2 linked regions of the Macaca fascicularis genome follow. The protein of the gene in region 1 purifies or fractionates together with the protein of each later gene. This does not show direct contact. Links are inferred from orthologs where the notes say so. Each region holds a gene or a part of one and is shown on either strand. Other genes may lie near its edges.

Region 1 (3,828 bases):
TCTGCAGAATATCTAGAGCTCTATGTCGCATAGTTTGAAAACTGTTGATCTATAGAATTTCGATGACATTTTTAGCATCTCTTTTCAAAGTCTAGTGATTTATTCATACATTATGACTGATAAGACAAGCTTGTACTTCTAACGTTATAAATTAAGTGGAAAATATAGTTTCATATGGCTGAAGGAAGAAAATACTGTCAAGTGACACTGATTTGTGAATTTAGAATGATAAAATCTGGTTTTATTGTGAGTTAATCTCTCAGTAGAACATACGTTTAGAAATGCTTATACCCACTTATTAAATAAAGCTTATTTTATTAGACTTCTTAGAAACCTTTGGATGGTTTTGTTAAAGGTGTACAAACTACTGATGCAGTTGCTTTTGTTGTCCACAGGTTGATGGACTTAATTCTCTTCACTCTGTAAAAGCTAGTGCTAACCGATTTACAAAAACAAGTCAGGGCAGAAGCTGGAACACTGGGAACGGGTCCCCTGATGCAATCTGTTTTTCAGTAGACAAACCTGGAATAGTTGTAGTTGGTTTCTCTGTCTATGGAGGAGGTGGAATTCATGAATATGAATTAGAGGTCTTGGTTGATGATGTAAGTATCACCCTTTCAGCATTTATCCTGATTAGTGGGTTGTGTATCAGGATTTACCATTGTCATAGTATGATGGGTCCATACCTTCAGGGGTTTACTAGATCAATTACAGATGAATGACACTAAAGAAACTGAAAAAGGCTGGCCACAGTGGCTCACACCTGTAATCTCAGCACTTTGAGATGCTGAGGCAGGTGGATGACTTGAGCACAGGAGTTTGAGACCAGCCTAGGCAGCATGACAAAACCCCATCTCTATGAAAAATACAAATATTAGCTGAGTGTGGTGGTGCACGCCTGTAATCCCAGCTACTCTGGAGGCTGAGGTGGGAGGATCACTTGAGCCCGGGAGGTTGAGGCTACAGTGAACCATAATCATGCCACTGCACTCAAGCCTGGGCAGCAGAGTGAGACCCTGTCTCAAAAAAAGAAAGAAAGAAAAGAAACTGAAAGATAATGATTTTACCTCATTGCTTGTGTTCCATCTTTCCACCTTGGATCACTACTGCTTATATTTTTTGTACTTTCAGAAAGAGAAAGATTTAAAGTGGAATTAAAGACTAAAATTTATTTAGCTAAGTCCCTGATGACAAGTCTTGAGTAGTTTTTTTTTTATATTGTAATTTTTCAAGAAACACAATGTTCAGATGTCATAGAGTACTAATTCAGCTATATCTTTCTAATCCATTCTCTAAAATTACTTAAAGTACCGGAGTTTTATTAAAATAGGACAGAAAGGGGTAGCATGTAAATCATTGCCTAGTAAATAGCAAGTTTATCTCTATCTCTAACTTGATTTTTTTGTTTCCTTTTTTTTTTTAGAGTGAACATGCTGGAGATTCAACTCATTCCCACAGATGGACATCTCTGGAATTAGTGAAAGGAACTTACACAACAGATGACTCACCCAGTGATATAGCTGAAATCAGACTTGACAAAGTGGTTCCTTTAAAGGTAGTTTCAACTGTATGTTTCTATTGTGAATAAGAAGAATTATTATGTAGTTAAAATAGTGAAGAGTATTCCATGAATTTTGTTTGTTAGATACAGCTATTCGTAAGTTATCCTTTATATGGTAGGTACTTCAGATATTTATGGAGTACCTACTATGTACCTGATGTTGTACCACATTATATTATATTTTTGTATAATGTTTCTTAAAGTCTGGAGTAGTAGGAAGCTTTGTAGTCAAACAGATTAAACTCTGGATACCTGCTGTTCCAACATACTAGCTTTAAGACACTGAGTTCATTATTTAACCACTTTGAGACTTATCTGTAGATTGGAAAGAATAATACCTGCATTGTAGTATTCTTGAGATTAAATAATAGAAATAAAACACCTGCCTCAGTGTCTAGCACAGTATGAAAAATAAGCATTAGCCCTGTCTTTTCTTCTCTTATTGTTTGTTGTTTTGTTGTTTTGTTTTGCTTTTGTTCTTTTTTTTTTTTTTTTTTTGAGATGGAGTCTCACTCTGTCACCCAGGCTGGAGTGCAGTGGCATGATCTTGGCTCACTGCAACCTCCACGTCCTGGATTTAAATGATTCTCCTGCATCAGCCTCCCGAGTAGCTGGGATTACAGCCACGTGCCACCATACCCAGTTAATTTTGTATTTTTAGTAGAGAGGGGCTTCGCTGTGTTGACCAGGCTGGTCTCGAACTCCTGCCCTCAAGTGATCCACCCCCGTCAACCTCCCAGAGTTCTGGGATTACAGGCGTGAGCCACCACACCCAGCCTATTTTCTAACAATATTTGGCAAAATAGAGAAATTTTACCACATCAAAGTAATTATAAATGTTAAAGTAACATTAAAGTATTTCTGAATTCAACTGAAATAAATTTCATTATAGGACAAAATTTTGGATAAGATCGGTACATGAGAGATTTCATCAGGAAGAATTTAGATACTGAAAAACCAAAAAGCTTTTATTGTGAAATTTATATCATGGTTCATAAAGCATTAGTTTCTATAGCTCACATTTTCAAAGTACAGTGCATTATATTTTGGACAGCTTTTTTCCTGTGGGTTTTTTTTTCTCATGTCTGTTTGCCTATAAATTTCTATCTCTGAGATTTTCTTAAAAATATAGCAGAGTCACCCTTATTTTTTTCTCACATCTAAAATTATTTTAAAAGTTAAACTAGTCAAGGAAAAGTATCAGCTTATGCAATTAAAATCTCGTATTGCTGGGCACAGTAGCTCACACCTGTAATCTCAGCACTTTTGAGACACCAGGGAGGGAGGATCACTTGAGCTTGGGAGTTTGAGGCCAGACTGGGCAGTATAGTCAGACCTTATCTCTACAGAAACACCTTAAAAAATTGGCTGAGTGTGATGGAACGCACCAGTGGGAGAATTGCTTGAGCCCAGGAAGAGGAGGCCACATTGAGCCAGGATTGCACCACTGCACTCCCAGCTGGGTGACAGAGCAAGATCCTGTCTCAGAAAAAAAAAAAAAGAAAAATTATTATGGCTAATATTCTAGCAGTAAAATTACGAGCAGGCACTAGTTACATTGGTTGTGTTCAGACCTAGTTCCATCACTTACTAGCTGTGTGACTTAGAACAAATTACTTAACTTCTCTGAACCTCAGATTCCTCATCTGTAAAATAGGGATAATAATGATACTTACCTCATGAAGCCATTTTAAGGATTAATTGAATTCCATAAAGTACTTAGGACAGTTGCTTTTATGCAACAGGCATTCAGTAAATATTAGCTGTCATCATGTTTGATTCATTAAAAACTTGTATCATCTGTAAATATGATAAGAAATTTCAGTATATTTGCCTATTTTACTGCTAGAGTTCTTTTTGTATATCCTCTGTACATTGTGAATAAATGTAAACATGTTTTACATCTTTATAATGAAGGAAAATGTTAAATATGCTGTGCGCTTGAGGAACTATGGAAGCCGTACAGCCAATGGAGATGGAGGAATGACCACAGTTCAGTGCCCTGATGGTGTGACGTTCACATTCAGCACGTGCAGCTTGAGCAGTAATGGCACAAACCAAACCCGAGGACAGATCCCACAGATACTCTACTATAGGTGGGTGAATGTATAGAGATAAGGGAAATAGTTTACAGTGGTAGAACATACACAGTCTATTACCAGGTAAAATTGCTAAGTGGATAATTATAATTAAATTATACAGTGTATCTTCTTAGCACATACTCGTACAAATTCATATAAAGAAATCTTTTAATATATAAATTCAGT
Region 2 (3,828 bases), on another chromosome or scaffold:
GAACATAATATAGATTGTACAAATCTTGTTTTTTCCACTATTTTCCCCTGCAGAATGTGAAAACCTTTGCATCTTCTGATAGTCTAGCCAAGGTCCAAGAAGTAGCAAGCTGGCTTTTGGAAATGAATCAGGAACTGCTCTCTGTGGGCAGCAAAAGACGACGAACTGGAGGCTCTCTGAGAGGTAACCCTTCCTCAAGCCAGGTAGATGAAGAACAGATGAATCGTGTGGTAGAGGAGGAACAGCAACAGCAACTTAGACAACAAGAGGAGGAGCACACTGCAAGGAATGGTGAAGTTGTTGGAGTAGAACCTAGACCTGGAGGCCAAAATGATTCCCAGCAAGGACAATTGGAAGAAAACAATAATAGATTTATTTCAGTAGATGAGGACTCCTCAGGAAACCAAGAAGAACAAGAGGAAGATGAAGAACATGCTGGTGAACAAGATGAGGAGGATGAGGAGGAGGAGGAGATGGACCAGGAGAGTGATGATTTTGATCAGTCTGATGATAGTAGCAGAGAAGATGAACATACACATAGTAACAGTGTCACAAACTCCAGTAGTATTGTGGACCTGCCCGTTCACCAGCTCTCCTCCCCATTCTATACAAAAACCACAAAAGTGAGTATATTCATTATATTGTTAACTTGAGAAACTTTACATACCTATTTTAAGTAATGAAACTTTCCTCTCAGTCTTTGTATTACTAAAAATTAATCTTAAGATATGTAATAATAAAATGAACTAGTTTTTTGTTTTACAGAAGGTATTGGAAAGTATTAACAAGTAGAAATACTGATAATGGGAGAATCTGAGTACAAATGGAGGGAAAGTAATTGAGCCTATTACTATGAAAAGTTATTAACATCAAATTTTTGTCTAAACCTTGAGTTCCGGGCAGGGATTAGTAGCTTGTGTGGGGTGTAGAGGTTTTGGGTGAAATATGATTTGTGTAAATCAAGTAATGAAGAAGCTTTTTATTTACAAAATGCAGCTGCTGGAGTGGGCTGTCTATTTACAAGTGTCACTCTAAGGCATAAATTACTCAAAAGTTGCCTCAAATTAGTTCTAGTTATTTATCATTTGAGAATTAGAAATAGTGGATATTCATGTAGAATAGACTTACAAGTTAAACTATATTTTGGAAAGGAACATTTTAACTTGAATAATAGCTTACTTGTTTTATAGACATTAAAATAATGTCTGTGGTAGTTCATCCTCTTACTCCTACTTGCTTATTTCTTACATTTTACAGTGATTTTAGGCCATAAACAATATACAAACTGATTTAACTGATTTGACATCATATCATTTAACCTAACTTGACTTGGAATGAAGTGTCTTACACACTTGGATTAATAATAGTTGAATTGCTAAATCATGTTTTACATCTGCTTGTAAAACCTTGACTTTCTAAAATGTGTTTGGCCCTAATTTACCTAGCCTGTCTGCAAGTCAGATTATATTTAGCTAGCATGATCTAAGAAGGACGTGACATCAAGTAGTGATTTTTCATCCATTGTATCATCCCTGTCTCAAGATGTTGAAGCAGTAGCTTTGGATCTCAGCCAGATGGCTCTACCGCTAACAACTATACACTGCTTTGTTAAGGCTCAGACCTTATATAGTGTCATTCCTCCCTTCTGTCCCCCCAGTCTTAATCCCCTTCTTCAAGGTTACTATATCAAAAGGGAGTTTATACAGCTCTTTTTTTCCTGAGGGTTCAGTTAGAGGAATAGGGGTTTAATATTTAAGTTCCAATTGCATTATCTTATTTCAGAAAGAGGTTCAATCAAAACTAAGCCTTGCAGAACAATGCAGAGTTATTGCTGATTTCTGCTACACTTTAAATTAAAAGCAAAAAAAGCTAGTTAGACAAAACTTTATCTTTTTCCAAAAGGAAAAGTCATCCTTATATTCTGTAGGAAACCTTCCAGTTCACAAGTTTGACAGGTACTTCATCTTTTCTTTACCTTCAAGATAAAATCATTAACAGAAATTTTATGTGTGTGATGATTACCTCTTTAAAAACGAAGTATACTGAATTTGTTAGTTTTTTTTCCTAGTGATTCTGAATCAGGAATAACAGTTATTCTTGTACATGCAAGATAACAAGAATGGACTGGGCCCTAACCATAGCAGGGATAGATGTGTGTATGCATTTGTATATATACACATGTACAATATAGATGTGTATATGCATTTATTATATAAGTGTGTATGTATACTTTTTGATATATTGTTGATCATGAGATGATTTGCCTTCATAAGTATGGCATGAAGAATACAAAGCTATTTGATTGCCAGGACAGTGATGCCCTTCTATAAGTACGATTTCAGTCTGAAATTTTTCTAAATGTTTTCCTTTTTGTCCATTCCTAAAACCCTTCTGCCAGAGTATTCCCGGAGCACTTTCAACAGCATTTAGAAAAGTCGCTTAGTACTGCTTTACCTAAAAAGAAAATGTCAATATTCTCCGTCTGTAGATGTTTTAATACAATAAATAGAAGCTCTCACTAGTTCAAGTACTTTATTTTGGAAGAGCTTTAAATTCTTGATCATTATAAAGTTAAGACACTTCTACAGACGTTACCCTAGACCATAGTTTCATTCAAGTCTTAAACTTTGACTTTTGAGAGTAGAGGCATAAGAAATGAAATCCCATTTTTAAATGTTAATATAGGATTAGCTTTCTACAAATTTTACTCAGGATACCTTTCAAGTTTTATTTTTTGACGTTCTCATAAACAAACCCTGTGGACAGCTAGACTGAATTTTATCCATCATCCCTAAATATGCTGCATAAGCAAATATGATATTAATGAGAAAAAAAGATGTTTAATTCTTCCTTGCATTGCTTTATTCTTTGAAAGCATTTTGAAAACTGTCAAAACTCTGAGGACAGTTTTTCCCCCCTTGTCACTAAAGGTTTGTTCTTTTGGGAGCCTTATGGCAAGCAATATATGTTAAAAATTCCATACTGTCTTAATGTTAAAAGTCAAGGGAAGTGATAGTCAAGAATTGCTATTTATTAAGCTCACACTGTTTGAAAGATCCTATGACAGATACATAAACAAAAGTTACAGAGAGGCCAAATGATCCACCCCAGATCACACTAAGTGATGAGAGATTTTAATCCTGATTTGCCTAATTGCAAAAAACCCCTTTCTCTTTCCATGTACTATGCTGCCCCCTATGGTAGAATATGACAAACATCACTAAACAAGATTTCCAATATAGTCATAGAGACTCTGGCGTGTGATGATTTTCTAATACTGTGTCCCATTTGAAGTGATCAGAGCTACCCTATAGAAAGGACAGAGAGCTCAGTTAACTACTTTTCTTTGTGGCACTTAACAAAACACTATTGAAGATTTTACAGCTCAAGGCTAAAGTAATCAGGAAGAAATGACGCTATTAAAAAATCTGATAGAGGTCATACTCTCTCGAATCCATAAAACATGCTTTTAAAGCAGAGGTTGTGTGCTGGCTGTTCCTCTAAATTTGACTAGCCTGTAAATTCTAGAGTCAACTTGGTTCTCCAGATATAAATGTCTGTCTCTTCAGTTTTTACTTCCTTTGTCAACATCCTTATCATATATATTTTTTAAAAATTGTTTTCTGAAGAGATGCCCAGCTCATATTGAAGAATCTTTGACATATTTTATGCAGATATCAACTAATTTTCTACTAACATGAAAAACAAATGAGACAATTATTAGGCCAGATCTGGTATCCTGATCTTTTGATGAAGAGAAGTGTGTTTGAGCACTAATTTCTGATGCTTCCATATCTGTCATAGTGGCTTCCACCTGTTCTCTTCTCA

What was found.
Region 2: the proteins of MYCBP2 (region 1) and FBXW7 purify together in Homo sapiens (affinity purification with mass spectrometry; 6 studies listed by BioGRID and IntAct, counting the BioPlex papers as one, with this or other methods). This does not show direct contact. The link is inferred for Macaca fascicularis from reciprocal best matches to the Homo sapiens genes MYCBP2 and FBXW7.

The regions. Positions count from the first base shown.
Region 1 is NC_088391.1:68,187,601-68,191,428, reverse strand, and holds part of MYCBP2 (E3 ubiquitin-protein ligase MYCBP2), read left to right. Parts: intron 1-395; coding exon 396-602; intron 603-1,423; coding exon 1,424-1,555; intron 1,556-3,478; coding exon 3,479-3,657; intron 3,658-3,828. UniProt on the Homo sapiens protein: Atypical E3 ubiquitin-protein ligase which specifically mediates ubiquitination of threonine and serine residues on target proteins, instead of ubiquitinating lysine residues.
Region 2 is NC_088379.1:157,327,036-157,330,863, reverse strand, and holds part of FBXW7 (F-box/WD repeat-containing protein 7), read left to right. Parts: intron 1-53; 5' UTR 54-122; coding exon 123-623; intron 624-3,828. UniProt on the Homo sapiens protein: Substrate recognition component of a SCF (SKP1-CUL1-F-box protein) E3 ubiquitin-protein ligase complex which mediates the ubiquitination and subsequent proteasomal degradation of target proteins.